Linked DNA regions of Drosophila melanogaster. The protein of the gene in region 2 interacts with the protein of the main gene of each other region in a pairwise test. Each region holds a gene or a part of one and is shown on either strand. Other genes may lie near its edges.

Region 1 (15,737 bases), on a different chromosome or scaffold from region 2:
AAGCAATGAAAATTCCGACCTACCGCAATAAATTCCGCGGAAAAACAAAGCAAGTGATGCCAAAATAAGAGTGAAATGGCCAGCTCACACACACACATGAATGTAAATGAAGTGGAATCACCACCTCAGAAAAACTCAGGGACACCTCAGACACGGCCCTGTAAATCGCGCTTATCCAAAACACAACATGGCATCAGGAGGCATTGGAGATTCAGTTTCATTTTCATTCAAAGATTGAATAATAGAAGGGGGTGTTCCATCCCTACCCCAACAACCTTTGACCTGACACAATGCTCTACATTCTATGTTTTTGTTCGAGTTGCGCGTTCGAATCGCGACTGCGCAATAAACCTGATGCCCCAAACAGCTGTTCTAGGCAAGACCTAGGACAACATTTGCATCCTTAACTGGAGGCTGGCCATCCACGTTTACATTGACGTAATCCACTTGCCAGGTTGGATCTATTCGGTGTTGAGATATATCACAAAGCAGTTCCTTTTGTACTTTAATTCATTTTATTACTGAACAGCTTATAATAAAAATTCTTTATGTATACGAGAGCTTAGTTGGTTTAGCCCCGGCCAAGGCAAAAAGGAATTCGAACAGCAACATATTTCTCCAGCAGTCTTTTCCAGAAGGTTGATCTTTAAATTGACTTGTTACCGCTTGCTGCCGTATTAATGCCTATGATAGCGGGCGCTTCACCAGCCGCAAGGACACGAGCTGCAGCCACCACAAGGACCACATGGACCACAGCAAGGACTACAGCAACCTCCACAGGGACCACATCCGCAATAGGGAGTTCCTCCCATCAAAGGAGCCAGGCAGCCGGGTGGGCAGGGTCCAACGTAGAAGGGATCGAAGCTGCAGCAAAGCATCAGAACCATCTTGAAAGTTTGGATTTGGTAAAGGACACTGGAATCTCTTCTAAAATCTGCAGGAGGGGCTCAAAAGGTACGGCTGCAACCATTCAAAACGGGGTTTGTTATTAACAAAACATTACCAAATATTTAAAAATTACTATAGGGAACAAAGCAATTTTACAATTTTTAAATTGTATAACTTTTTTATTCAATTTTAACGAACTAGAACGTACCTGGGATTTTTTTTCCTGCTGAAGAAATACGTTGAAGTTAATCCTTGGCTACGAATTTAGAATTTTTGTTCAATTTTTCATATTGTTTTTTTTTGTGTTTTATTTTACGAAAGAGATGTGTTCAGTCCAAGCTGTTCAAAATGAATGAGCTCTCTAGGTTTCGAATCCCACAAAGCCCACAAGATGAGTGAAGTTTATTTCCAAGGCCAACTAGAGAAAACTAAAAATTTCCTTTTTTTTGCTTTCTATTCGACATAGTTGCTGACTAGATCCTACTCCTCTTCGGTTAATTCTGCCGCTGGCGGTGTTTCAGGTTTTACTACTACCGGTTCCGAGTCCTTTTTATCCTTTTCGTCTTCCTTGGAGGAGCCCTCGGAATTATGTTCACTGCCAAACTTAGGAAGCAATGGTCCTACAAAGGCACATGCCTTGCCTCCAATACTTTGTACCACGGAGCAGGCGCCATCCATGCGATCGCCCTCTACTAGAGGAGTTTCGCCCTCGACGGCGGACAGCTGATCCGCCACTGGACCACCGCGCCTCACAAGGTCAGCGATCGGATCACGGGTTTGGTTTAACACCCTGCCACCCACTTCAGTTAACGAACGGGAAACTACCATAAACAGGGCCACTATGCCCGCAACTCCGATGGCCGTGTGAACCATTTCCATATCTTGGGCAAAGGAGCAGGATCTTCTGGAGGATCAGGAGGGTCGATGTCGGATTTTTCGATCGACCACGATGACAAATAATTCTAGGGCTACTCTCCAGCCATCGCCGAGATGGTATTATAGGTCGAACGGGCCAAGTTTCGGATACTTCGCGAAATTTCATTTATCAGGTAGTTAATGTCATCCGAACTGACCACCTGCTCCTGGTCGACATGGTGCTCCGGCGTTGAATCGTTTACAATCAAGACTATTTTACGAACGGGCTGAATCATGCCGGATACATCGATCACGGGCTCCGACACATGGTGATCAACCAGAAATGCCTGATGCATGATGATCACCAATTGGCGGATTACTGGCACCACGCGATCGAGGACGTTGATTGCCATTGGGGCCAGTACGTGGTGTACCACGTGATCCACAGACGAGGACATGACCAAGAGACTTGAATTTTGAATTTAGAAAACTATTTTCACACAATTTGCGACCTGATAAACTAAAATTCCCAGGAGTTCTAATTTGAAATCTAAGCCATTTCGATTGGAATATTTATATTATTTCCCCAGCAATATTCAACAGTTTGGTGACGATGAATCAATTTTATTATTTCTCTACATAGATGTGTGCGAGGCTAATTGGTGTGCAGTTTCAAAGTTCAACTATATTTGTTCCCGCCGTTATTCTTGCATTTTATACAGGTACTCGTCTCGTCAATAGCTGCTATAGCAACGACTGTGCCAGCCACCGGGGGTGTATCCTTTGTAAATGTCGAAGTTGCACGGACATACTGCGCATCTCGGATAGGGGCCAATGTAGAAAGGGTTTATGGCCGGAGTCCAAGGACGACTTAAGTAAACCATTTTCAGCACTCGAAAGAAGTCTGCAAATCTTATTTTATAAATACATCTCCCACATTTTCTCTTTCGAAACTCACCGGAAATGGAAGAGAAAAATGAGAAATTTAAACAAATGTTTGACCAGAACAACACGTTTCGTGCTTGAAATTTGAATGAAGAAAATGCGTATGTACGCTTATGTGTTATTTTGTTGACATTTAAATCAAGAATGCTGGTTTAAATTTATTTGACTTCATTTTAGATAGATCATAAGAAAATGAATTAATTTTATCTGTATTTTTTATCCACAGTTATTTTGTGCTAAAATAGAAAAGAGCTGGTAATTTGAGGTTAATATATATTATTATTGTTTTTATTATTTATAGATATTCATTTTATTTATTTATTATTATTATTAATTTTTTTGAAATATAATGTTACAATATGACGGTTCGATGCCCAGGAGATGATGAGCTAAATGGGTTTAGCTCAAGATGTTTGAAGATATTAGCAACACACAACAAGGTTGTGTGTTCAGCACATCTCCAAAGGACTCCTGGTTCATTTTTGCAGCTTTGCCTTTTTCCCCACTACTTCTGTTCCCGGAGCTTCGGTTCTTTTTGGGCTTTCTGGTCCAGTGGTTGCTTCGCCGCGTCCTTGTTGGATTGTGGGGCGGGATTGCATCGGGGTAGTTGGGACTCCGGGCAAACTCCGCACTCCGGAACCGTGCAGTGGCCCTCCTCCAAGCAATCGGGGTCACAGCAGGGCGGATCGGGTCCAATGTAGCCCGGATTAAATATGCAAGGCATGCTGCAGCACCTCCACTGAAAACGAAGGTCGAGGCAGATGGCAGTGGCAAATTGGGTCCCACTTTATAGATTTTGTGAATTTACATAGATGCTAACTGGGTGCAATTTTCGGGCCGAGTGAGGCTCATAAATGTTCTCATTTCCATGGGTATTGAAACACAATGGAACGGGTAACTAGATGCCCGAGTTGCGCAAATCTCTAAACAAAGCTAGTTAATTTCGTACTAGAATCGATGCGAATAGCTCCCACATTGAACTCTATCTCCCAAAATCCGAATCAAAGTCCAATCGCCCTTAAAATCACCGGTTAGTGCGTGCAGAACGCTTATAATTATTTCATAATCGGGCAACACTTCAGTTTTATGGTGACAAAAGCCAGCGGAAAGATAACTGCAACTGCAGGCCATCGAAACTGGGCCACAAATGGCTGCAGGCACAAATATGGAATTTAAGTTGAAATTAATGAATAATTAAGCTGCTTTGGGCAGACGCTCGCAGCGGAAGTACAGCATTTGCATAGCTAACACAATGAACTACATACGGCCGGACAAGACTTGGCCGTTCATAAATTAGATATGCAAATGTAAATGCGAATGGAAAACTAACGGCAATTCCTTTGTCAATTAATCAATCAATCAACGCAGCCGCTCGCTGCGATCCAGAAAGCGATGCGGAAATCACTTGTCCCACATATGTACCTCTGCCCCCGCCCAGAAACTCCATCCATCGCCATTTCCCCCTGGCCACTGCATCTAGCTGCATCTGGCTGCATCTCCATTCATCTACATCACGCATGCCAATTTGCCTCAGCACGGTTTTTGATTGCCCGCTAAGTTCGGAGCGTTGTGAGCCCCCATCGATGCTTATCCCCCGGTTTTAAGGCGATGGCAGAGTCATTAGCATCAAAGGGCCATGGTGATATGACCAGCGCTCCTGGCAGCTCATCTGCACTGTGGTCTTTGCAGTGACCCAAAGAGTTTGAACCGAAGTGCTTTGACTTGGGTTAATTTGTGGGCTTTCAGCTTGGAAAGTATAAAAGTTTCACATGCATTGTTCAAGCACACAAAATACCGACAAAAAGACCGAAAAGGGTTTATTTTAATTAAATTGGATGTGATAAATCGAAAATAGTGATGTTTATGATTGAGGTAGATAGCATAATTTTAGTCAACACTTTAAGCTTATCATTATCATTAAAATATAAATAATTTTTCGGATTCGACCCACTGTGCAGCGTTGTCGGCTTTCAATGTCGCCGGCTGCAGCCATCAAAGTCGTGTGCACTATTTGTGTAATTTATATTCAAAGCGTAACGCGGTGCGTCGACTGCGTGTGTAGGTGGGTGGGGAAATGGGCGGTAAGTGGGTGTTGGGGCGGAGTGCTAGGGGGACGGTTCACTTGGTGGTTTTGGGACCGGTCACTCCGAGCAAACGGACTCTAGTGCCACTGAACTAAGTGCAGTCACGCGAACTGCTTTTAAGTGGCATAAGCAGAAGAACCCAATTCCTGCATAACCAATGAAGTTAAATATATTAGCTTACTCATTTTATTGCTCAGTTCTATAGACTAATAGTTTGAAACTAATGTGCAAAATCAATTAATTATTAAGAGATTCGAATGAGAAGCTCCTGTAACAACACATAACTCTCAGTGTAACCCTTAGATAGAACCCATCCACACTGCGACATTGTCTATCCGACTTCCGTTTGTCGGACGTAGTTCTATTACTTCTTGGATTCCGTTTCTGTTTTTAATAACTCAAGTTCGAACCCAAGTAGGCACACTTGTGCCGTCGTTACTGTTTGAGAAATGTATTGGAGGCCTGACAAAGTGACCGGAAGATGATACTGCAATAAAAAATGAGCACCCACGCAGCGACATGGAACACCATAGAGTGTTTGGCTTGGAAATAGAAAACCAAGTGCTGGAAATGAACATGAACCATGTTTTATATGCTCTGTGAGTTGTTGGATTTTCACTACTCGTAGTTTTTCTTCTTTTTCGTTAGCCATTTATTTACAAATGAACAATATTTATGGCCTCTTTTTGAAAGAGTTGCGCGGTCTGTGTGTATATATTTTGGGTTCCTATGCGATGGGGCCAGACTTCCGTCACAGCCAAAACATGGAAACGATCTGTTCATACTGAACATACATAGTTGTGTCTATTATTTTGTGGTTTTATTTCGGTTTTATGCGCGGAGCGTACCAAACATCGATTATGAATTACAAACTCTAAACGGATGGCAATCAGAAATGGTTTTGCTGAATAAATAATTCTAATTTGCCAGCAATTATGGGCTGTCAAATACGATTGTCCACTGATATGTTTTCGATGGTCGCGGAAAGTGTGAACTGAAGAACAATTAATAAATTTATAGTTTTGTGGTTACCGGAATGAAGTTTAAATGAATAACATTTTGGGTTCGGTTGACGGATTTGTCTAAGCTCATTACAATTGAGTTTTGCTTATGCTATCCAAAAAATGAGGTTTCAAACTTTATTGTATACTCTTAAAAACAGACTGGCTTGGGCATGAATTCTTATATGTTAATCCGGCAAAATATCCATGGATACGAAATCTAGATCTTCGAAAGCCAACTGGATTTATGGCTGTATAAGTAGCTAAAATTATTCCCAGCCTCTTATTACATCTAGCAAGTTGCAATTAGTGTTGTCACGGGAAGAATTTATGAGGAGCAATTGCAGAGGCTAAAACAGGAACCCTAAACGACGGCACTTAAGCGATCATAACTTTGCCCATGATAAATCGAACTGGAATAGCCTGCAGAAATTCCAGATTCTGGCCATGCAAAGCAATTGGACAAGTGGACAAAGGCGGTTACAAAGGCGAGGAAGTGGCCCAAAGAACCTCGAGCAGCTGCTGCCGCTGAAAGGCGAGACCGCTGAATGAATTGGGCTGTCGTTGTCTTGGCAATCAGCGCTACCGGGCATAGAAAGTTAACACACCCGAAACCGGCTTCGGTTTCAGTCGATGCAGCCAGTTGAATTTGCCAGTTGATGCACTGCAAAAATCTGCTCTCTTCTATACATAACTGGATATAGAACATCTATACATAAAAATCCATTTAATACAAAGCTAGATCAGTTTTAAGGCGTATTTAATAAATTTAAAAATTAATTAAATTTATAGAACAATTCTTTACTAGTCTATCTCTAGTTTTCTCAGTGCTCCAAAGTTGCTGCTTGCCAGTCACAAGTGGCAGGTTGCCAGTTGTCGCTGCCGCAAGAAACTTGCCTCCATACTGCGGCGGATGTGAGTTCCTGGGGTAGCAAGAGGAGCAACTGGTGGAGAGGGGCTTCTAAGCGTTTAGCTTGGCTTTTGCCTCGGTTCGCTGGCCCCGCGGAGCGCATCCAACTTCGAATTGCCGCAATTGCGTGTCGACCACAATCTTAACCAGCTGAAGAAGCGACTGAAGGAGGCGAAAAACTTTGAGCCAACAAGGATACACTGGAAAAGAATTATTCAAAGTTACATATTTCGAGAGATGTTAGAAAAAAGAATATTGTCATTGGGAAAAACCAAAATTATTCTATTTACTTTCTTTATAATATTAAAAATGTTGCTTCATAAAAGTTTGCTCTTTAGAATTACCTTTAATTTAAAAGAAATGTGGGCTTTCAGTGTCAACTTGAGACTTTAAGGGAAACGGGGTGTTCGGTCAGGTTCCGTCCCCACTTGAAGCTGTTTTCTATATTCTCCTGCCTGCCGCTGTCTGTTTCCTTTTTGCTTTTAATGAATAAGTTGGAACACCTGTTCGTCGTTCGTCTCCTGTCGAGATCTCCGTCCGTCCGAGTGTCTTGGAGCTCTGGTTCTGCTGCTCAAGTGTGACGGCGCTTGTGTGTTCTATCTCTGGATCGGACTTGGTCATTGTTAATACCCCTTGACCCAGGGTGCATTCGGCTGACAAGTAAACTGAGCAAATTTGTGCTAAAGTTAAATTTTGGAAAGATAGAATGAAAAGAAAAATATTCTAAAATAACTAAATAATAATTTTTAATAATAAAGCAGCACAAATTGCAGTCAAAACGCCATAATGTCAGACTAATTCTAGATCATTTTTCTTGTGAGTCGTAAGAATCGTAACATTTTTATTCCCGCGGAACTGGCTTGTCTGCATTTGATGCTTTAATTATCCAGTTGTTTGCCGAGAAAAGCAAATAGAGTCAGCCAAAGCTGAAGCTGAAACCAAAGACTCAAGACTTAAGTCAATAAATAACCTGTTTGAATATCATTACGCATAAATCTGAGCCAATGCATGGCCCCTGTAATCTTCATTCATTAAATCGGGCTCACCTGAAATCGAGAGCCGAGACATTGACACCCGAGGAAAAGGATGTAATGGGAGGGGGGGGGGGGGGGGTGGTGAATGGGAGTCAATGCCACGACAAGTGCCGGCCACGTCAAGTGGCAAAATTAAAACCAATTTCCCAGGGACTCTGCCGTATCACTTGCTCATCAGGAAAAAATAAGAGAACGAAGAAGTGAAGAGTCCTCCACACACGAGTGCTGCTGCTGCAATGACGTTGGAAGGGAAACAATGCGAAAGGCGGCCCAAGAGCACAACGAGATAATTGTAATGAAGAAATTCGCAGCATAATTGATGGAGGAGGGGCTCCGCAATTCACAGTAGCCCGGGAAGTTCAGATACTTGAGCTCTGATGATGCATCGACAGTCGTGTATGCCCCATCACCCCATCATATGGGGCCCCTTGGCCGCACCCACATTTTCAGCCGCCCTGAATGCAAATTGCATTTCTCGTTCGAGAGCTAAAAGTAATTTCGATTGCAATTCTTTCTTTGCCACTGGCTGCTGTTGTAAGTGAATTTTATATGAAGGTGGCTCGATTTATATGGCATTACGTAAGATTCAATTTTCCAAAGCTCGTACAGTGAGAAAAAATAAAATGCTAATGTGCACACATTACCGATTAAATGTCTGCATAACACCGTTTCTACAAACATTAATTACGCTGGGCAAACAAAATATGATATATTTTAGTCGTACAAAGCAGAAGCAAAAAAAGTCAGTTTGGCGTTTAAACTTTGTTTAATAAATAAACAAGCTGATAGTTATATAATACACAAAATGAAATATTTGTTATTTGCTTTCAAAAGTGTGAGATTAATTAAGTTTGATGTATTCTTTTTTTTGTAAGCATACGCAGTGCAATTCCCACTTATTTCCCACTTGTTAATGAGGCTTTCCAAGATATTTAGTAATTGAAGGATTTGCCAGTGGTAATTAAAGAGGCGTGCAGCTAATTCAATGTCGGAAATCAAAGCACTTTTACTGTCGCACTCTCCTTGGACAATTATGTGGCACGACATGAGCTCACGGCTCAGCAAGTTTTGTGGCAAATAATTTTCTTCTGTCTGCAGTTTTCATCAGTATTTTTTCTATATATAAGTACTACTTGTATTTATATTTGAGTTCCATTTTGCTGCCACTGCAGACATTTTTAATAAGTTGCCTGGCAGCCGTTGCACGTCTCACTTCGGCAACAACAAACAGTGCAGCTGCCAAGTTGAAAATGAAATTCGTGGCACGAATAGATTTTCAAACATATATGAGAACGAAAGAGAGAGCACGTCGGCAATGACAGAAATTCGAAAATGAAGCAATTTACTTGTATATTTGATACAATCCCCCGTTCTCGGACAGTTGTCAGCGATCTGGGAACGCGAATCGGAATGGGAAAGTGGAAAATGGGGCAGCACTGGCCAGTTGGCGGGCTTATTAAGTGGTTTCCCCAGCCGGACAACCACCCTTCGTGGTTGGATAATTGGCAAGCATAGTTCAGGCCCTCAATGGATTCCAGCTTAAATACCAGCTTTAATGGCCAGCAATTATCGAGTGTTTGTTGCTTATAATTGCATACAAGTAGGAGAAAGTAATAGATTATAATCATCACTTATTTATCAGTGGAAATTATTTTATATTTTTTCGAACAGAGCAGAACCAATTAAAATATTTTCAGTACAATAAGAGAGCAATTTATGCATGGTTATGGATTTTAGGTTATGGATCCAATAAACCAAAACGATAGAAAACGGTTTCCGCCCACGCCACTAAAACTAACCTAACATGTTGGGCCTTTCCTATTTGGTGACTATTAAAGTAGATGACATCCAGTTGAAAATTTTGTCACTAAGAGAAGAGAAGTGAACCCTTTAGACCGCCACGAGCCAAACTTGTTGAAAGTTTCGGCTGCATGGCCCAAGAAACCAATAAAGAAAACTAAGGGAAAAGTGCCGCAAAAGCTGCCATAGACCTACACTGCTATATACATCTGCACCATATACACTATATATACCTTGGGCAATATGGCGGAAGGTTGGCTTAATGGCTCGATGCTGGGGACCGGGCCTTAAAGGATGGCACAAATAATGAAAGCGCGACGCTAATACTACGTGCAAAATGGTTCTGGCTGCACACGCTGCGTATACGTTACGTTGGCGGGCTTATGCAATGCAATTTTCATTTACATAAATTTTGATGTTGTCTCTGCGAATTGCTCGGTGTGCGGGCGTGTTGGTCCCCGAAAAATTAAACAACACAAGTTTAGCAGGCAAACTTTTACCCCGCACACAGTCTTTTATGTCAATTTGCTGGGAAATTACCTTTTTGTTAATAGTGGAAGACGCGAACTTCCCGGCGGAGCAAACATTAAAAGTAATTCAAATGTTGTAGCGCCACAAACGTTGCAAGCAGCTTAGTGTAGGGCAACAATAAATGCTTATTTAACTAATTTTGCAACACGTATGCAAATATTTACAATGCAACAGCTGCATATATAGAGAGGGCCGACTTCAAAATTTGGTCTAGATAGATAGAACAAATATTTTCAAAGTACTTTTTTTTTTTAATGTAAAAAAAAAAAAACAAGAAAAAAACGCTATAGCCGAGTTTGACGACTGTCAGATTACCCTTTAGTCAGCTAGTAAGAGTGCGGAAAAGAAATTCGAAAGTTATTTTTTAATATCTTTAGCCGTTGGCCAGAAAAATAAGAAAATACTCTAAATTCTAATTTGGGATAATGCTTAATGCGATTTGAAGGCTGTATGCTTTCTTAGTTTCCTAAAACCGATCATACTGGTATTCCGATAAAAAAAATATATACTATCGTAGCATAAATGGTTGAAAACGAATGTTTCACTATAGTAATTAATGTTCTTTATTCTTTAATAATTTGTAAGCCCATTAAACAGTACAGTAACCCACATATCCCATAGGCAACCCTCGCTTTTGTGGCTTGCCTGGTAAGTTGGGATGTCTGGCAAACGACTGCCATTAAAGCCTGTTGTTTAGTTTTTAGCTACTTCCCACGTGAGTTTCCCATTTTCACAGCGCCCACCTCAACAGAAGCCGGAAAACCGCGTGTCGGCTGCGGGTGTGAAAAATAAGAAGAAACCTGGTGGGTGGTGGGGAAAACTTTGCGTCTGACACTTGGGGGTAACACTTAAACGTTTTGCTTTTATGGACACTTTTGAGCTGATTAATTGCCAGCTTCGACTTAATGCCTAATTAGCGTTTGTTTGTCCGCCGATCAACTGAAGACCCGCCATCAACACCTGACATGGGCGCGAAATTTCACACTTTCGATGAGGAAATGCAAACAGCGAACGAGGCACTTAATTAATCTTTGCTTACTCACAGAAGGAAATTATATTAAGGCTGGCCAAGCGGAGAAATAATCGAATATTTCGATTGGTTCAATTTTTTCAGCACATAAAAGCCATGCTTGATGGGGAAATTGTGTGTTTAAGCTTCTGGCAGGACTTCGCTTAAGCCTCCTCCTTGATCGCGTATACGCCATGTTGTGCCTTTGTAAATAACTGAAGCCTATTAAATGTCTTTGCTGGACACATTTAATTAACAGACACGAACAACTTATAATTGCCACTCACTGAACGTTGCAGTGAGGTAATTGTTTCTTTTCAAGACTGAAATACTGAAAGGAATACTGACTGAGTGACCGCCTGGCGTTGCGTGCGAATATAAATATTTTGCAGGCAGGAATATTAATTACCGCAACATGCGATTTTCCACCGCTCTCGAAAGGCAACATGCCATTAAGGGTTTCTGGCTGCCCGAGAGTGGGAAATGCGCTTGTCAGTTTATGTCGGAGAATAATTAAAAAGCCACACCGACAGTTTCGACCTTTGCATTTTTAAAAACCAATTCGAGCCCTCCGTCCAGGGTCACTAATCAACAAAAACTATTTATGGACAGCCTCCGCTTGTAGTGGATTTCCAGGTCAAGGCCAAAGAAACTTGGCCAGATTGTGCTGCCAACAAACAGCGAAACACACAGACATTAGAAAGTAACTAACTAAATGTCAAAAAATAACCATGCTTACGTACTAATTATAGTTTGCTCGGCTTCAGCTTGAGCCTAGTTCATATATATTTATGGCTTATTGCAGCCTACTTCCAGGCGTCGGTTGTCCATAAAAATTAAATAAAAATAAAATAATCAAAGCAGCACCATTCCGTAGTGCAAACTGTGCTGTTTACTTTAATAATTTTAATTAAAAAGAGGGCTCTTTTGCAAATAAGGAGCCCGGCCCAAAAGGACCGCAATCAAATGGCCAAGTGTCCAATTCGCGGCTCATTGCCATAAAAGGACTCTCTACGTTTGAGGACGTGCACTGTTGACTGCAGAAGGCCCGAATCGAAATCAAAATCAAAACTAATTAAAAACCGCAACCACTCGAATGCAAACACGTCGTCTCTGTCTATGACTATGCCTAAAATCCATATGTACCTGGCGTATTTGTGCGGATTTCTAACCCCATAGCTAATGAAGCGTTCGTGTTGATTATAAAAAGGCAACCTCGTTTGCCATGCACAATAGTAGAAAACGCACAGAGTTTTATCCAAATGCAAGTGTTTAATTAAAAGGCTCTGCTAATTAGTATGTGGTCAGATATTTCGTCCACAAAGTGGGCTTAATGCTCAAATTGGCTTCAAACTAATTATTGCCTCTATAGCAATACAAAGATAAAAACAATATAAATTTATCTATTAAGGACCGAGAGCAGCCAACCGAAATATATATGAAGTTAATATTTTATAAAAAATAAAATCATGATATATATTTTTTTAAGCAGTACCAAATGCCATACTCCGTTTGAATATTATAAAGCAGAGTTGGTGAGAATCTTGAGCTCACTTAAATATGAAATTTAGCAACTTATAATTAAGTCTTCGTTTTTAAATGTTCGGAATCCGAACTTCGGATGTCGACTTTAGGCTAAAAAAAAGAGGTTTTGCATAAGTTGGCCCGATATTCGCCGCCAAAATTCCAATAAACATATTGTGCGATAATACCAGCCCAAATCGACGGGTTGCCAACGGGCCCATTTCAATGCCAATTTCCCTTTCATGCACAACTTGGCAGAGCTTATTGCTTTTCACTCTTCATTGCGCATAAATTTAGCATGTACATGTACGCACGAGGCCAGGGACCTTTTCCCGTATCCCCAGTATTTTTTTTGGACTCAGTTTGCTTTATTCTTTTTTATGAGATTTTTTTCTACCCTCATTAGAGCTACACCAACTTCAGCCCCAAATGCAGGTAATCTGCATACAAAGCGCCAGCTCAGCTGCATTGCACACTTTCTGGCGGCGAACACGTTGCACCCAAGGAGATATTGCCATAATAGAGACAGCGAAAAAATAGCTGGAAAAACGGAGAGAAAGCGGAAAATGTTGAGGGGAAACCATAACAGCGTTTAAGGCAAACTAAATGAGACCCACGTAACGGTAGTGAGCATGAAATTATGCATATGTGGGCCGGCGCTTTTCCCACCGCTTTTCCACTTTTCCCGCTGCGGCAACGTAAAGCATTGCAAACGGAAATAATTCAAGTGCAATGCAAATCATGGCCCACCACGCTCAGGTAATTGTGTGCTTACCCAATGAGGAGCGGTAGCAGGATGTCCTGGCAATGGCATTGCCAATGCCAGGAGCAGAGCAGTGCGCACGGAAAACGGAAGACGCGCAAACTGACAGACGGACAAGCAGACAGACAAAAGGACGGATGCATGGAGAAAGCGCTCTCCCCGGAGAAAGTGTTTAATCGAAAGGAGCAAACACTTTGCTGGGCTCGAATTCAGTAGTGTGCCAACGAATTTCCAGGCCGAAAAAACTGCATGAAACAAAATGTGATTTTTAAAGATACATGGGAAATTTATCATAAAATATTTAAATATATTATAACAATGAGCTTAGTTCCGATCAAGCATAATGATTAAAAATATTCATTAAGGCAATATGTAAATTTCACCTTTAAAGTGGTCTAACTTTGAATGGGCACTTGAGAACACAATCTTTTTTGCTTCAATCGCATTGCAATCATCAATTGGGCTGCCGGCGTGCCCTTCATTGACTTGGCATAATAAATCGACAAAAATCCGAATGCATCGCTCAAATATTGGAGCGTTTATATATGCGATCCGAAGGCCCCCGACTTCCGCAGACCAACCTTATCTAAACGCTGCAGTTGGAGGCGAGCAAACTTTGTTCCATTTAATTCAATTCAATCCTTGAGAGTTCAACGAGTGCGAGGGAAGAAAACGGAAACGGCGAAGGAGCGAGCATTTATTTGGAAAATAAATAAATAGACAGGCCAAAGGATGGGGGGGAGCCAAGAGATAGTGAAGTATAAACAAACCGACAGCCGGACAAACAAACTTTTCCGAGAGCATAAAAATGGTGTAAAAAGTACTGCGCCAAGGAAAATCGAAAATGCGCCACATTTGCCCAGCCAGAACATCTATCAAATTTTGCGTTTATTTTCACCCATTCAGGGAAATCAAATGAAATGTGTGAACCAAACCAGATAAAACTACTGAAGAAATACATATACGTGTATAAAATGTAGTTGAAATCCTATTTCCATGTCCGTGTATCCTTTGGCTCGGTGGCAGGTCCTTTTCTTAAGTGGATTCCAATGGCAGCTTTTCGACTTTCGGTGATTTGTAAAAGGGGTCTCTGAATAATCGCCGAACTGACCTTTAAAATGGAAACCAGTCATAGGTGAATGGGAAAAATCTCAGCAGACCAAAAAGTATCATTGTCAGAAGATTTCATTTTATTTCATTTAATTTCCTCTCAGTGCTCATCATTTACAATAATGTCTACGTAAAATTAACATAAATTTGCGATTTTCCAGTAGCTTAGGCGAGTTTTTCACAACAATCAGTGCTGTGGCATAGAGTCAGGCAAAGAAATAAAAAGACAAAGGAAAAGCTGGCCAAGTAGGATGAATAAAAAAACGCGAAATATGCTAAAGTTGACAGCTTAGGGCCTTTTTGCGTCTTGGTGGCGTCTGAAGAATGGAAACATCCTCAAGCTGTCAGGATTTATGTTCTTAAGGTAAAGTGACCTGGCTAAAATTGAATCGGTAATCAGAAAGTGCAACGTGTTTAATGAGAAAAGCCGTTAAACCGAATCCTTGAGCAACAATTGAAATTCAATTTATCAGCACCTTGGAGCAGATTCCAAATAAAACCCCTGAAGCATCTTTTCTCCAATTGAAAACCAATTTCAATCGAAGATTATTCATACAGCTAAGTGACAAATTTGTTTACGTTTAAGCATGTGGAAAATGCAAAACTCAAGCTCAATGCTCATATCAAAATTGTTTGCCGTAGCCCAACTTTAAGTGCTTAACGGCAAGCTCAATAAATTTCTCAACTTACAGCAAAATAAGTTTTGCCAAGAGCCCGGAAAGTTTCCTGTTCTTTTTTTTTTATCCCCTTTCGAAAGAGAAAATTATTTTGAGTGTGCTACGAACAGAATTACCAAATTTGCCTCTCCGGCAAACAAACGAAAAACGTGAGGATCTGGAAATCACTCTATACTCCTATACTATAGTACACATACAGTTGGCAGTTATATGTAACTACATTGTAACGACTGCCCTGGGAATCCCCCTACGTACCATAATCTTCATGTCTGTTTGCAACTGTTTGCGCTGACAGCTCGGGTTGGTTTTCTGGGCTGTCTTTTTTGGGTGGGTTCCTTCTCGGGATTGCGTTAGGATGCACTCCCCTTTGTTCGCTTGCAGCGTGAAAATTGCACAAGATTGCATGTGCTCCTGCTCCGAAAATATTTATATTTATAATATTTTTTGCAGCTGTCATTTGGCCGTGTATCTGCTGTGTGTTGGGGTCTGTGTTTTTTATTCGTGTTTTTGGGCTAACACAAATTACGGTTTGCGGAGAGTGGCTGAGTGGCGGCATCGCCTGCGGTTGGCAGGGGCTAATAAATCAGAAAATATAAAATTCTATGT
Region 2 (17,535 bases):
TTATTTCTCGTCATAAAACAAGGTTGTTTTTGTCAGACTTAAACGGATTACGCAGTCCGACCCAATAAAGTTAACATATTCTTGATCAGGATCACTAGCCATGCCGATCTGTTCGTCCGTATAAATGTCGAGATCTTAAAAATTTTAAAAGCTAGAAGGTAACGGGTATCTGATATTCGATGGATTTTACATAAAAAAGTTTTTAGACCAACAAATTTCATTAGGTAACCTTCAAAAACCACTCCATAAGTAATGTTGCTAATGGGTGATCTCAAAAGATATAAACATAGTTTTTTATGAGCTCGTGGTTGGTAGAGTTGAGCTCTTTTGGCTCAAAACGAATCACGTTCGATATTGAGTTGGGTGAAAGTTTTGTTATAAAGTAATGCATTTTCAGACTTATGAATGTAAATGAAGTCACTTACCCAAGGGCACATTGGCGCCGTTCTTTCGATTGACGGAAACTGAGATCGGCAAAATGGCTGCACCGGAAGTGGACGACGGCGAGGGCGACGACGAGTCGCAGGACCCCTCCAGCGATTGGGCGGGCGTAGGCACCGTGGTCATGTGGTGATCGGCGCTAGTGATCACCGATGTTCCCGATGACCTACCACCTCCTGCCCCGCCACCCGAGCTGCCCCCTCCGCCTCCTCCTCCACCGCCGCTGGATCCGTTGCTCGAGGTGGCCGCTGCCGCATTGCTGGAACTGGGTGCTCCACCGCCGGAGCTGCTGGTGGCCGGACCCACACTGCCACCATGGTCGCTGTGCGGCGGAGATCGCAGGGCGGTCTGCGTGGCCGGTTGCTGATGCGGATGCTGGTGGTGGTTCTGGTGGTGGTGGTGGTGCGAGTGTGGGTGGCTTTGGTGCTGGTGCTGAGCCACCGAGGCGGCTGCAGCAGCTGCCATGTGGACGTGGTGCGCGTGGGCGTGACCGTGGATGCTGGAAGCGGCCGTGCTGGAGCCACCCAGATGGGAGGCTGGAGCCGACGGAGCTGCTGCTGCGGCCGCCGCTGCCTGCTGGTGGTGCAGGACATGTCCGTGATGCGAGTGGTGTCCTCCGTGTGCGTGATGGGCGTGCACATGGTGGGCGTGGACATGAGCGGGAGCTGCGACATGATGGTGATGACTCAGGAGGGTCGTGGCCGCCGGATTGGCAGGCGGCACCTCGTGCATGTGCAGCGCCCGCTGCTCATCCTGCGCCTGGGCTCGCCTCAAGGCCGTTTGCAGAGCCATCACCCGCTGGCGGTCCGCCGTCAGTCGGCACTTCTCGCACGTGCAGTAGCGGAACTTGCAGTACCGCTTGTGTCCCTTTAGGGTGATCTTTAGGCCATGATTGCGGCAGCGGGCGCAGTTCGGTGGTGTCCTCGGCGAAATCGAGCTGCCGCTGGAACTGGAGGCTCCGCCACAGACGTCGTTCTTTGAGTCGATCATGTCCGAGTCGGACATCGTGTCGCTATTCCAGTTCTCCTCCGAAACCATGATTCCAGCTTCTGATATCCTATGTAAATGTTCGAGCGTCTAAGTTTATGTAACCGTGCTTTTATTATGCTATTTTTATTAGCATTTTCTGTGTCTATTAACTGTCTTTTGCTGTTTAATTCACTGGGGTTTAAATTATTTAAGATTTTTTCAATGAGAGTTATATTGTTAGGGATTATATGCCTTTATTGCAATTTAGTCTTGCATAAATTATTGGTAAGCTTAAGTTATTGGGTAAGTCCGAAGAGTATTGGAAAATATTTCGACTTTAGGTCTCACTTTTAAATTTTGCTGCTTTCTTTTGATTTTAGAAGCACCTGAAAAGAGAAAGTTCAAATTTTTGTTTAATACGAGATAATTGTCATGTCTTAGTCCATATGCACTCCACTCTTATTCAGCTGATGCAATTCCAATGCATCCATATACTCTAAACAAGAGGCACAAATGTTTATAAACGATTGAGGAATTTAGTTTAGCCATATTTTTTGCATGCTTGGCTAGTGGTAGCAAAAAATTTACATTTGTATTGGTAACAATAGAAAATGTTTGCCATATTTTCGCGTACACTTCACTCTGGAATTTTTTTAAAAACAAGACCACATGTTAAAACTTCGTTTTTATTGGCCATCGGACATCGCATGTTATATGGCAATAAAGTATGAAAAATCATTTAGATTCGATCAACCACGCCCCTTTACATTGCTTGGACTCGTATTGGATTTCAGAAACAACTCGAAGGCGGAGTCAAACGCGTAGATACATTGTATTGATAGAGTAGTGAATTTGTCCCGGTGTCATATAATACTATATAATACTGTCTCAAACAGAAACGACGGATGCGCAAATAGTTAATGGGAGGAGGTACTGGAATTATGGTCGACTTTTGACTCTTTAAAATGTCTACACATTAATTTTCCAAGTGTCTTTTTCGTTTGAGAGATGTGTAAAAAATTTCTCAGATACATTTACGTAATACGGTTAATTATGAATCGTAAAATAAAGTATAATATCTATGAGCAAAAGTTAATATGAAAAACATTTATAATTTTTAAAAGTTAAGGTAAATTTATTGCCGAAATTTGCCTATAAATTTCTAAAAAATTAAAATTTATTTACTAGAAAATTTTTGTATAATCATATAACGTTTAATACAAAAAAGTCGTTGGATAAAAACTGTCCAAAAAATTATTCCCCTACTTCAATGGGTTACGCGAATTTTTCGAATTCTTTATCCTTTTAATAATGTTTAGCAATGAGTAACCAATTTTTTATAAATAAAAGCTCATATAGTTAAAACATGTTTTATTATTATGCTCGCAATAATGCACGTACTTTAATTTACAATTAATGCATTTATATTTATTTTCGAGATCATTTGATCATTCAAAATAGAGTAAATTACAACTTAAAAACATTTTATTTACCTGTTTTACGTGTATTTTAAAAGACTTTATATTTAAGAGTCAAAATACTTTTAATGATATTTGAAAATACGTTATATATTAGTAATAACTTTATATTAAGAGCTGGATTTATGTACTTTTAAGGTTTTTAAATTATGGGTAAGAATATGCCGGATTACTTTTGATGGATTAGAATAATAATTGGTATGTTTAGCTTTTGTTGATTTCACACATAACACTTGCTTTCCACAATTCCAATTATACAGTCACTTTCAGCTGTATGTTTCAAAATATCAATTAATAGTCGTCACACAACAAACAAAAAATCACACAGAAAGTGTTGCACGATCTCAACTGACTTGCAAAAGCCGCCGGTAAAACGCGCGACTGAAGAATCCGATTGTAGTCCAATTAAGCGACTGATTCAGCACCGATAGCAACGTGCAAAAATCAATATTCATAGGGCCAATCAAATACAAATCTGCTCTTTTAATCCGCACAACTTCTAAAAAACGTTCCGCGCGAGTCGCGAGCCGAGCTTTTTGCTTCTGCTGCTGCTGACCGATCTGAAATCTTTGGCATGCACAAGGCAACTCACATTGGGCCGCAAGACGCGGATGCAAAGAACTCAAAAGCGCCGAGCGAATGCGTCAGTATTGGTGCCCGGCCCGCGGATGTGCGATGGTGTGTGTGTGCGCCAGTTGGCTGGTGTTTGTGCGATGTTTGCCTGTGTTTGCGTGGAAGCGGGCACCGCCAACGAAACGGAACCGAAAATCGCATCGAGAGAGCAAGAGCAGCGCACCAAACTGAGCCACAGTGGGCCGAAAGTCCTTGATAATCCTGCGAGTTTGGACGGATGCTTGAGTAACGCTGGGCTTCCAATTTTATTTATTTTATTTATTTTTTTAGTATTACGTTTTCTTCATATTTTAAAAGAAACTATTTATTTCTTGAATTTGTTGGATTTCTTGAAGTTGGATTTATTTAATTCATTGGTCTAAAATAGCTTTAACAAGGGACCAAGGAAGTAACAAATCGTATTATGGTCTCTTCAAATTACCAAAGGAACCATTCATTACTTGAATTTAGGATTTATTCTATGTTACCAGTTTTCAAAAATCGTCGTCTTTTAAGTTTAACGTGGATCGAAAAGAGTTTTTCTCCTGAACTCCCAAGACTGTAACTGTGAAACACATGAAAACATAAGTAAAAGTTCAGAAAATATCTTTTTATATGTAGGAGGCTTCAATATTTGTGAATAAAGCCCTATGATTTGGCTCCACTGTGCAGCGTCGACGTTGCGTGCATTTGGAGAAATGTGGGGGCTGCACACCAATACACCATACACCATACTGGCACATGCAGCAAACACACACACACTCGCGCAGACAAACGGACGGACTAGTACATAGGCAGCCTCACACACATTGGCTGGCGTTGTTGTTGTCGATTCGTTGGTGTCGCTGCTTTCCCTGCACTTGTGAATGTTGGAGTGTGTTGTGATGCCGGTTGCAGTCGCCTTGCAACTTGTTTGTGTTCGAGTTGCAGTGCGCTCGACGTAGTCTTAGTTTCGCCTTCCGCCTCTTAATTGCTTTTTTGCATTTCTGCTTGCCCGCTTTGCGCTGCGAATTTTATTGCATTTGTTTTGCTTAGTTTTTCGTTCTAAAGGGCGTGTGAGTGATGTGGATATTTGTGGACGGTACTCCGGTATAATGGTCTTCTAGAGGCTTGTGCAACTACCTAACAAAGGAGCTCCAATCATTTATATACAGTCAGTCAGTCGATAACCACTACATACGAGGAAATGGTTTCAAGTGGGCTATTGGAAATGGGTTTTAGAGGTATGGCATTGAAATATAGTATATGTATATACTTCTTATCTAACTAGGTTGGAAATAAAAGTGCAATTCGTGGCATTTCTATTACTCTTTTAACTTATGTATGTGCGTAAATATATTATATACATATATACATATGATATATAACAATTTTAGAAAGATATTAAAATATAATAACAATTAATGGAAAAGAGGAATTCTAAAAAACATTTTTTTTAATTTAATGGGTTTACTCAAACTTAAAGAACCAAAATATTGTTACCTGCTTAAATAAGTTAAGCCTATAAATATGTTGATACTCGTAAATCGATAAATGGCCCTCTAAAGCACAAAAATAAAAAAAGCTTTACATCAATCAATTACATATCAATAATAAAAAAACCAAATAATATAAGTAATATAAGTAAAAAGTATACATGGGAAGAATGTGGTTAATATTTCTATATTATATAGATAGGGAATATAAGATTCTTCTACACTTCTTGTCCACTTTCTCCACACCTGCTGGCGTGTTTGATTCGTGTTTAATCTAATTTGCACTTAGTTTGACATTATGGTGACTCATTGAACTTGCCTATGCACACAGATTCACACTCAAAATGTTTGACGATTGATTAGAACCTAATGAACGAAAGATAGGGAGAAATATATGTGACATAGACGAAAGCCAGTATCGATGAGAATTTTAATCTATTAGCTAGGTGACATGTAGTGTGAGCGTTTGTCTGTCTCAATTTTCGTTTGCTGTAATGACTTAATTTCGGAGTCTAAAGAGTTAATACCCTGTATTTAAATGGAGGGTAAATTGAGCATGAACGATGTGCTGATAACGGGTCTCACATTCGTGCTAGCACCAGATACCCGCCCCCTTCTTCCACCGCCTCCCGCTGGCCACGGCAAAATGTTGTTATTTTGCCTGTGTGTTTAAAAACTGCACAAGATTGCTTATCTTGCATGTCGCCTCTAATTTGTATGAGCTGAGAGACCCGCAGAGAAATAATTCCTCCGAAGAGCCACTTTAAGAGAAAGACCCTGCTGGCTATCAGTTTTCAATATTTGTGTTTGGTGGAAATAATGACAAATATAAGCAGGGAAACAGTGGTCAAAGTTGCCAAAGGAAAAGCGGATTAAATTGATTACGGGCGAGCATAAAAAATGTGCAGCTTGCGCATGTATGCTCAATTAATTTGTCTAAAGCGGAAGAGATCACGATAAGAACCCACTTCAGGTTATTAATGGGCCAAGGACAGCTCGGCGTTATAAATGGCAAAAGCACCTTAAGTCGATTATATGATAATTGCAAGTGGGGTGCAGCTTAAAAAGTTGAGTACAGATCATTATAACTGTGCACTAAGAAAAATGCATTTACAGGTATTTTATATTTGTATATATTCTTGGGAAAATGTACCAAGCTCAGATTTATATTATACTAAAATATTCGTCTTGCTAATATGGTTTAATAACTTACTTAATATAAATCTATGAGTAAAAAGTCTGCATGTTTGCTGAGGAGTCAAACGGCATGCTAGGTTCTTATACCTTTTTTTTTAAGACTACAGACAGGTGTACTCGATCTTGCCATTTGCGTCATCCGTCTTCATGAAAGTCGAGATTTCGTGAGTGAAAGCAAGCTGCAGTTTCTACTAATGATCTCTTACGCCCACTAAAATATGAGTTTTAACTTAGCAAGGCTAACTATGTTATTTCGACTACAAATGACAAGAATAATAGCCAAAAGAAATGAATAATTATCCCCAAGATAACACAAAATATTAAAGGTAAACTGTCCTTTCGCGCTATACACAATGAGCATTGGCAAAAATTTAAGTTCTAATTTACATATATTTTTTATAATTGCAGCACTCGTGAATAATCGATGGTAAGCTTTAAAATTAACAAGAAACGCCTTCGCTTCAACTTTAATTTGAATAAAAATATTCAGCACGTGTTTATCGTTTTAAGCCAGTTGGTTTCCGTATTTGTCATTTGCATTTTCCTCATAACCACTTAGACCTTGGTCCAATTTGCCTTATATGTATGCAGTCATCTAGGATAGCCGATCGCAAACGACAATGGCAATGGCCTACGCTATCCCAATCTTAGAAACTAATGCGGGAGTCTCATAGTGTGGCTGTAAAACGCGACCTGTTGCTCGTTTCCTGTTTAATTTGGAAGTCAGACAATAGCCTGAACCCCTGGCTCCCCCCCATTCAGCAGTCATACCGCCAGTTGTAGATGGCAATCGCTGAGCGTACCTGCTGCTATCGCCATTAAGCCTTGTACACACGAGCATTTATGTCAGGCAATTACAAGGCAGTTTGCAACGCCCCCAAATGCCGGGCAAAAAGGTGGCAAAACGGAGCGGAGTGGTGGCACATTTTGGCCGCAGAGCGCTCGTAACTCATCGTTCACTTACCAGGTACAATGCCAATTGCATGCACTCGCTAGAGTATCTCCAGGTCCACTACTAGACCACTAGCAGTATATGTATCTGTATCTGCATCTGCGATCTGCCTCCGCGAGGTGTGCTTTGCTCTTGGTTATGCAAGCAAAGTGAGAGAATATAGCACTAGCACTCGGCGAACTCGATGAGATACGGGGAGTCCGATCGGCTGGGTACGAGACGGTCAGGAGTGCTTCGTGGACCGAGAGTGAGAGTGTGAAGCCGGTAAAAATTTATTTCTTTTATTTGTTATCTTAAACCGTACAAGCTGTAGCCGCAAACGACTTTGTTTAGCATGGCACTCGCGGCTCGATCTGGTTCCCTGTAGGTCAACGCATTTTAGAGATATTTTCGGACCTCGCACAGCAACTAAAAACTATCGCACAGAATTTTGTACCGAATCCGCTCCAGTTCTTTTCACTTCAGCTTGAGATTGTGATTTCGAGCACGGAACGCGGACGGCGCGAGACGCCAACGCGACATGCACGACCTGCAAAGGACGATCGATGCCAGCAAACTGGTTGCGGCCACAAAGCTAAAGCTCCCCGTGCACGATACTAACACTCGGACCAGTACCAGTCCGACTAGCAGACCAAAAGACAGCGGACAGATACACGGACATTCAGGCGGACGGGCGGACCTAAAACTGAGCATGTGTTTCTGGCACAGAGACGGGCCCACCGACTGGCGACGCAACGCTCTTGCTATTTGTATTTGCACTCTGGTTGCTGCACCGCGAAAAAAGAAACGAGTGCGAGCATCCAACCTGCTCGACTGCTGGATGCACTGCACATCAACTGGGAGAAAGCAAATTGGTTTGGTACCAGATATGGATACCCTTATTTGACCGTTTTCATTGTAAACCCTTAACTATGCTCTTTTCCATAAGTAAACCATGCTAAAAATAACATAATTTAAACACAATTCTTACAATATGAACTATGAACTATAAAAAAGTATTGCAAACTATTAAATCGTATGTAATATGAGCTAAATTCGCCGCGAAAAATATAGGTTCCGCACTGCGGATACTTAATTCTCCTTACCTGCGTTGCATACTTTTAAGGGCTAATTTCCGCTAATATCAGCCAAATAAAATGTATTTTAAAAAATTATGTATTTGAACGGAAAATGTTTTAAAATATTCATTACTTCTGTGTTGCTATTTAATATGTGAAATACGAAAAACGGTCAATTATTTTAAATACTAAGTAAATAGTTTTTAAACAGAAACATTTATACGATAGAAGGGCATTTCTTTCATCGGTTCCCACGATTTTTAGCAAACTCATAAGCTCGAAGCAACGTTGGTATGTGAAGAACTCAAACGAAAGCATCTTGGGCAACAGAGAGTTACGGAGAGAAACGGGTCTGCGAGAGTGTAAAGTGCATTTGCCCCATTAATGGGGAGCATAAAACATCGAAGACGTGCTCTTCCTCTCTGAGCGATTCTCTCTTGAAGTTCGCGTGTTTTTTTGCGAATCTCTGCGAGAAGCTCGAGTGGAGCAACTTTGTTGCCGTACATTGACGTCTCCCGCCTGCATGTGCCGATCGTAAATTTGCACTCTGGTCGCTCTCTCTCTCTCTTCCGTTCTCTTTCCGCGTGGCGCGAGAAGAAGAAGCGCCAGATATGGGGAGCATCGAATCGGGTTTGGGCGTCTAGCCGACGATATAGGTCGAACCACTCAGCTGGGTTTCGGCCTGCGCCGCGTATTTATGCCACCTTTAGACGCAGCGATTTGCGTGTGTCGCACTCGCATTTATCACATTGAAAGGTCCCCTTTCATCGTCAGCCGTTATATTAGTCAGGATCGTTTATACAGTACGGCGGAGATAATTTTGCCGAAGCTCGGCTCCATTAAAAGATACTTCCCTCAGGCGATGCACGCAACTCCCAAAAAGGTAACCAAAAATGGTCGAGAGTTCGATTTTTGGGCAGTGAATCGATTTCGAAAGGGCCTTCGGTACTTCAGTAGTTTCCCATTGGTGACCAAATTGTAGGGGAATGAATGGCTCAGCGATCAGAAAACATTAAGATAATACTCATTAATTAACCGTTTTTGATTCTCGTTTAGTGTTTCAGAGACAAAAGTTATTAATTTAATATTTAAATAAATGAAGTGATAAAGTGACTTAAATTTAATGAATTTATGTAATTATTTTGACTTGCTCATACAAAAATTGAATTTAAAGAAAATTACTTACTTATTATATTAACTATCAATATCATCGAGGTAATGTGAAAACTTAATATAATTGCATACTAGGGTACTACAACATATTATTTAAAAAATGTTTACGAAAGTGAGAGCGGAAGGCTTTGTCATTGATTTGCATGAAACTGTATATATTGCATAGGCAAGGGGATACATTTTTCATCCAAATCCGATTTACATCTTCACCAATTGATCCCGTGCCGATTGTAGAACGATAAAATTCACATAGCTTTAAAGGCGCATTTCTTGCACCATTTCTTGTACCTTGGATCGCACAAATTTTAGCCCTTTTTATGGCGGAGTGTCGAAAGAGCTTGGCTGGGGGCATCTGCATTTGCAATCTCATAAATCAATTAGCAAAGAGCGGCGCGGGAAGAGTATCTCGCGGATACGCATCCGAATCGAAACTCGTTTGGCCGAGTGCGCTCTCAAAAAACGCCAACAAACTTGGGGCAGAACGGCAAACAACAAACACTCGGGCGGTCAGAAAAAATGCAAATTGCTAAGGAAATATTTATTTATGATCTGCTCTCTTGCTCCCAGTTCCACTCTCTGCATCTGACAGATACTCTTTTTTCCTTGTAGGACCTTTGCGACCCCCGCATCGATCATCAGCGTTCAGTGTGTTTTATTTTTAACAACTCCACACTCACCACAACCGACGCATCGGTGGCAATTGCAAACATTTATACAAATTGACGTTTAGCTGTCGCAGTTGTCACCTCGAAAGCCGCACCAAAGATACACGACACAGCGACGACATCGGGGAATGCTGCCAAGTGCTGGGCGCAGAATTCTCCGGATGACCCGGCAGCCAGATAAAGGTAATCCAAGTTGCCAACCGCAGTCTGCCTCCGCAGACACCTCACCCCGCTGCCTACCATTGCAATCGCAATTCCCCGCGAGCGACTCGTGTTCGTGTTTTATAATTGTTATGGCCATTCTACAAGTTGTTGTACATTGTTAGCGACTCGGAAGGAGGTCTTTCGGCTTAGTTTGCGGTAGTGGGTAGATAAGTACACTGAGAAAAATTGCATCTACTTTGAATGTATTACTTTAGGTCGAAAGTGGCGGAAGAAGTTATTACCATAGAATATTTTTAGAATTTTATAACCAAACTTTCCTTGAATTACCATATTTTTTAATGAATCATGCTTTTGAAAAAGAGTAATAGCAATTTGTATTCAAATGAAAAATAAGGAATATTTCATTTTAGTTTATAAATCATATTTACCAGAGATATCACAATTTTTGCGTACAACCATAAAAATCCTCACTATATCGCCAATTTTTTCTCCTGTTTAACTGGGTAGCCAGTCGAGTTGCTTAGGCATGCGAATCGTACACAAGTCTGGCGCCCAGATCGCAAATGTATATCAACCGCTGTCAGTTTGCATTTCCACCGAACGGATCGGGTGAATATGTACACGAAGTCAAAACTGCTTCCGTGAAATTGTTAAAGTTGCTATTCAAGATTAATGGGGAAATTTTCGGAGTTCATGTAAAACAATTTTGATTACACCACACTTAACTAAACAAGTGGATGGTTAAATTCCACAGAAAAGAGCACTTGTGCAGCCCTAATCGGATTTTCAAATAATGTTTTCAAGCTATCCTTGTTATAGTTAATTATTTTGTTTAAATACACAGCAGTAAGTAAATTGTTTTAACTTACGAAACATCTCAATTAAAATGCATTTCAAAATTTTAAATTGCGGTCTTAAAGATTTGTGTGTTTATCAGTTTTGGGCCGGCGTCGGGAAAGGCTCGCCATCCTCGTCCTCATCGCTTGCTTTTTGATCTCACTTCTTTGGGCTTTTAACCTGGCTAATTTTCAGCTCCCCCCTCTCGTTCGATTGGTGGGAAATTTGAGATGTTTTTGAAGCCGAGCAAATTGGTAGCTTAATGACAAATGGGGTGCCAAAAAACGTGTTTTATGTTCATAACCAAGATACGCAGAGTTATTTAAAGCAGTCAGGCACAAGATTCCGTCAGGCACACCAAAAGGAGGAGCAAGAACGGAGCAGTCCTCGACAGCGATGGCAATCTGCATATAGAACACAACCAAAGGACAAACCTTTTAACCGACCAGCGGGCGGAATCCGTGCGGGGAGAGGGTCCGATGTTCCAGGAAGGGGTTAAGGGGTCTCGAGCCGAGAGTAATTTACGCTTGCATGCAAATTGAAAAACAGTCGAGAGCAGGCACTGGACATTGGGGGATCCTGGGGTGGGATAAGTTCCGGACTGGACCGAGCAGAGCTGATTGAGCGCCGGGATGATGCATTTTAAAACAAATTGGCACAGTTTGTGAGAGGTGGCCAGTTGCTGTCGGTCTGGGTCTGGGCTTGGGTCTGGTGTGTCGGTGGTGTTGTGTTGTTCGTGGCGTGTTTGTCACTCAATTAGATGCAACTCATTTAGACGCTCTTGCATTTGGCCGGCATTTGTGTGCACAAAATGTTAATCAAAGCCTGATGGGATTTTTTAGGCCAACTAATGATGCCATGCTGTGATGAGGCTGGCGCAGGGAATGCTCATTGGTCATTGGGTGGGTTCCGTTCTGCGCACAGACATATTGATGACAGTCGCTCAATTAATATGCAAAATTTATTCATGGGAAAGTTCAAAACAAACAGAAATACGCACCAGCAACATAGAGCTGAAAAAGTATGGGGCGCAAGAAAAAAGGGAGTTGGCTTTTCCGATAAAAAATCAATACAAATTAGCCGACTCATTTGGCTGTTTTTTTTTTTCTGCCCATCGAATTGAGTTGTTGACACTGGTGCGTATTCGCCCCATAATCCGTTGTAAGCCCTTCAAAGGAACCCTAAGCTGATATCGTGACACCTAATAAATGTGCCAGCAAAGGTTTTAATCGTAGAAATAGTTCAATTTGGGGTGACTTGCACTACATTGTATTTAAATATCATATTATTATATATATTAACTACGTAGGCTGTATTTAATATAATTACGAAATTTGCATTAACACAAAGTAAGAGCTCGGCGTTCGGCAATTAATAAAGCAATTACACTGATCATGCAACATAAAACATGGCATTATCGCTCATGATTACTTGTTTATTATAGAAAATAAAGTAAGTGAAATATGTGCAGATCGTGACAAAAGCTATTATAGTCGAATATTAAAGTTCTTACTGGGCTATTATAATATATTACAACAGCAAGTACATGTGCACCATTTAAGAACGTGATAGTCGAGTGTGTGGTCTTTAAAAATCCCGCTACCTAATTTTCCCTACTTTATTAGTTGCATTTTGAAAAGGGATAGTGCGATAAAATAAGTGATACTAATGATACTTATCCATGTACAAAAGGTTGTTTAAAAAAGTTTTTTATATTAATATACATATAAAACATCCATAGCCTTAAGCACACTTTCCCAAATACAAAATGTTAATCCTACAAAACATCTATGACCTTCAGTGTAAAAAAATGTATATCCGTCACAACCACAGATTGTCAGGGGGAGCAATTAACCCTTTCATCATCATTCGCAAGGCCGAAGCCAGGATACAAGTGAAAACTTTATTAAAAACCACTTTACGCATTCCCCTGCGCATTTGGTGACATCGCAGCAGATGTGTTGCACATTGCAATTAAATCAGTGGTCAGCCGGAGTCGACCTGTCCTGAAGGGTTGGTGCTGCACTTGATGACTGCCTGATGGAAAAGTTGTAGCGACAAAATAATTTCGCAGCGCACAAGGCCAGGTCCAAAGTGTTGGCAGGGATGGTGGTGGGTGTTAAGTACATATGTGTGTGGGAAGGGGCGGAATACCGGTCGAGAAGTTTGCAGTTCCCAGATGATGATGGTGATGATGATTATGATGTGGACGATGATGATGACCTGCGCAACAATAGTTTGCATCTCGGAGATACCCAAAATGAAGTTGTTCTGCACGGTAGTCGAGTTTTCTTGTTATTGTAGCTGGCTTGCCGCAATCAACTGCACTGCATGTTGCGGTTCCTCGAACAAGTCGCCTTTTCCTGCATCAGCATGCTGGTGTTTGTGTATCTAATCACATTAGCACGTGCGCATATCCTTTTGGCCTTTTGGTGATACACATGCATAAGTGGCGAGGAGGTTTGTGGAGAGAGCTCTTGCTCCCCAGGCTGCCATTCAAAGCGAGGACTGTGCAAACTAAAAACATTTTGGCCGCTTTGTTTTTGGCTCATTTCGCTTGTCGATTTTGATTATTTGTCTTTGGCAGCCCACACATCGCACATACTTTTGTTTTGCCAGCTCGCCCCAACTATTTGTATCTCAAAGTTGGCCCACACACGTATGCCAAATGCATTCGCTGTTTTCTTTGAGGTCTTTAAACTTTTCCACAAAGGCCAAATAGTTCTGCTCCTCTTCAGTGTGGTATGACATTTAAGCAGGAGAGATGCATTTTGACCAACTTGTTTAAGAATGTCAAATTAGAAAATTGTGTAGTGTTGATGTTGTTGTAGTGTCAAGTCCACAAACGCACACAAGACCTTTGAATTTGAATTTTGATTATACGTTACATAAAGTTGCCATTCTGGCGAAAACTGGCGTTGCCAGAAACTGGATGTTGCCAGACCGATATTTAAAACATTGTTAAATGTTAATATACTTAAATATATATTTTAATGTTAGGCCCATTGAATTTAATCCAAACCAAAGACACTAGAATAACAAGATGCGTAACGGCCATACATTGGTTTGGCACTATGCAGCCACTTTTTTGGTGACGGCCAAAATTACTCTCTTTCGGCTCACTCCCGCTGAGAGCGTAAGAAATCTAAAAATATAATTTGCTTGCTTGTGTGAGTAAAAACAAGAGACGAGAACGCGTATAAGTGTGCGTGTTGTGCTAGAAGACGATTTTCGGGCCGAAATCAATTCTGATCGAAGAAACGAATTTACATGGTACATATTAGGGTAGTTTTTGCCAATTTCCTAGCAATATGATAAAATAAAAAAATTTTTAAAAATTCGCGCCCTGAATATTATAATTTTAAAGCTTTTTAAATTTGTTTGTTAAAATCGCCGCTCGAATTAGCTACCGTTTACACATTTATATTTATGTTTAATTCTAATTTGTCTCTCATCTGACAATTTTTTAAAAGCGAAATATTTTTTTTGAAACACTTTTAATGTTAATGTTACATCATATTAAGTCAAATGATTTAATAAATATACTAAATAATTAAATATGCAATTAAATTAAATTGCAAAAGTAATATCAAAGACAATAGAATTATTCTAGTGTCTTTGCTTTGTTCATATCTTGAGGCACGAAGTGCGGACACAAGCACTCAACAATTGCCTTATTAATTTTTCACACGCCGCAACATGAATACTCTAATGACAAATATTCTTATATAAAGTCATTTTTGAAATTTATTTATCAAAAATAATATAGATTTAAAGCCAAAGAACTTCTAAAGTGAAGGGCATATTTTGTCAAATTTACAATGCATGTGAATACGTGTGCACACATACTGATGTCTGCTATCACTTTGTGCGTTGAAAAGAGCTGTTCGCTGTAGCGCTCTTCGCTCTCTCGCTCTCTAACAAAAATTCGAGAGAGCCTGGAGCCACCTCTAGAGCCACGGCCAAAAAATCGTGTGCCAAAAAATCGTATGGCGTTACGCATCTTGTTATTCTAGGGTCTTTGTCCAAACTAATATGCATTAAAACACAAGTTTATATTAAATGCAAGCAAATATTGTATTTATTTCTTAGCAAGCGCATTTAACAAGCAAGCAAGTCTAAAAAGTTCTCAGCGAATAAGTTTTTAATTTTGTTTGGCGGCTTTAAATCTCAACGGTTAACAAAGCGAGTTACTTTTTTATACAATTTCTGTATATATGCCATTATGCGATATTGTTTATTTTGGTGGATAGTTACAGGTACTACCACATTACTCCGCCTTCACTGGCACATAGGTCAGGATAATGCTGGAGTGCGGGGCCACCTTGAGATCCTTGAGATTCACGCGTCCAGCATGAGCAACCTTTCCGGAGTTATCCATGTTATTGTTGTACTGCTCGCTGAAATAGGACACCGTCATCTTGTCCGGCAGATTGTCTGGGATAGTAAAGTTGCTCGCCTGCGGCAGTTCGGTGGGATTGAAGATGACAAAGTAGCCAGGGTTTCCAGACTTGATCCTGTGGAAAAAACATAAAATGGGTTTAAAAAAAAAACAAAAAGATAACTGAAATCTTTTAACTACATAATAACACAACTAATAAATTAAGCATAGGTTATAGTAGGATTGAATATAAATGAATTCAGAAATATCGAAAATTAAAATACTAATATATAATATATAGGGACACTTGGTTTAAGTTTTTACCTCTGCCTTCATGTGGCAAGCATTAACGAATTATACAAAAGTTAGTGACAAATACAATCGAGAAAGTAAACAACTTCAATTACCTGGAGAAGGCGACCAGTGGATCGGCCTGGTAGAGATTAAGATTTCCATGCATGTAGGATGCAGTCTTGCGCAGAGAGGTGATCTGCCTGTAGGTCTCCTCGGTAACGTTTTGATAAGCCACAGCATCCACAGCCACCACGGGAACACCGGGCAGCAGGGATAGGAACATGGCCAGAGCAGATGGATCCTGTGGGGTGTCGACATAGACGTCCGCTAAGTTCCACTGCAGCCAGCTGTCCGTGCCCGATTGGGCGAGTGTGTTATCCAGTTCCTTCTGTAGCGACGTGTCTGGCTTAGATTTGCTGAGCACCTTTACAAAGTTTCCGTACATAGGCAGATCGATGCCGTATGCTCCAGAATCTCCGCTCAACTGGTACACCTGTGGTTCCATGACATCTTCGGCAACCGAGAAGAAAGCCTCGTCGGAGGCATTCTTCACGATGCTCAGGTAATCATAGAGCACATCGCCCAGGCCGGATAGGAAAGTTGTTTGTCTGTGGGAGTAGAAGCCATATTCATTGGGTCCCAGGCTGAAGTCCTTCGGCGATGACGAGATCTGCTCATCCTCGAGGCTATCGAATAGCGCAAAGAACTTGGTATTCTTCAGGCGGAAGCCTCGAACGCCCAATGCCACCAGATGCTTTAGGACTGCTCCGAACTCGTTCCTAATGATGGTACTGTTCATCTTGAGGTCGTAGTACCCGTCTTCGAACTGGGAGAGCACATAGTTGTCTCCAACCTTTTCCCAGGCGCTGCGATTGCCGCCCACCTTGAGCCAGTTGTTGGGAAGAGCTTTACCGCCGCTCACCCAGACAAAGGCCGATCTCTTCTCCGGGTTTGCAATGGCATCCTGCACAAGCTGCGAGTTCTTTGCCGCGTAGTTGGGCGTCAGGTCAAGTATAACCCTGGTATCGCTGCCCTGGTACAGAGCCACCAAATGCTTGATCTTCTCCTCCACCTCCGGCTTCTTCACGTCGTAGGTCAGAGCAGCTGGAAGCTCATAAATCGCGCCAGCGGAAACCAGTTTTTTGGCGACCTGAACATCCTCTGGCCTACAGGTCTCAACGCTGGCGAACTTGGCATGTGGTCCACGCTTGTACCATGGAAGTGGCTGCGGAGCAGCGCACTTGGGGGCTCCGATGATGATTAGGATGGCGCCCACCAGCATGCCCACCCAAATGGCCCAGAAGCACACGAAGAAGATCCAGCGGAGTCGCACCCAGAAAGGGTCGTTGGCGTACTTCATGAGCTCCTCCTTGCTCATACCAGTGAAGGCCTGTAATGAAAAGAAATAATTATTAAAAGTACTATTTTATAAAATAATAAAATGCGTCAGGGTAAAAGCAGAAAGTAGAGACTAATTACATATTAGTAATATGAAAAACGAGTATTTCATAACAATAAAACTGCACAAATAAATTTCAATAATTGCGAATACACATGTATGTTACACACATATATACACATATATATATATGCACATGTGCACCCACATATTAATACATATGTATATTTATTGAATGACAAGCCAAGGTCATTAACCGGAGAACGAAATTCAACTAAGTGTAACTTGAATTCTAGCATAACCACATGCACACATACATATGTATGTACATAACTAGCGATTTTGTTTAAATTATTTAAGTTGCGCAGCTTTTGAAATAACGGTCTAACCAATGGCGTTTACATATATTATTTTCCTTTCTCATTTTTAAATTAATTTT

The links.
Region 1: the proteins of dsx (region 2) and CG31740 interact in a two-hybrid assay, tested with the Drosophila melanogaster proteins (2 studies listed by BioGRID).

The regions. Positions count from the first base shown.
Region 1 is NT_033779.5:17,994,458-18,010,194, reverse strand, and holds CG31740 (uncharacterized protein), read right to left. Parts: upstream 1,243-15,737; 5' UTR 1,097-1,242; intron 961-1,096; 5' UTR 888-960; coding exon 702-887; 3' UTR 501-701; downstream 1-500. Other genes in the region: CG42635 (uncharacterized protein), read right to left, coding at 1,369-1,767; CG42634 (uncharacterized protein), read right to left, coding at 1,857-2,201; CG42659 (uncharacterized protein), read right to left, coding at 2,478-2,627; CG5693 (uncharacterized protein), read right to left, coding at 3,194-3,412.
Region 2 is NT_033777.3:7,959,327-7,976,861, forward strand, and holds the start of dsx (doublesex), read right to left. Parts: upstream 8,083-17,535; 5' UTR 7,137-8,082; intron 3,461-7,136; exon of another isoform or gene 2,904-3,460; intron 1,797-2,903; 5' UTR 1,480-1,796; coding exon 426-1,479; intron 1-425. Other genes in the region: CD98hc (CD98 heavy chain), read right to left, coding at 15,293-15,539, 15,811-17,087. UniProt on the Drosophila melanogaster protein: Controls somatic sexual differentiation. Binds directly and specifically to the FBE (fat body enhancer) of the yolk protein 1 and 2 genes (Yp1 and Yp2).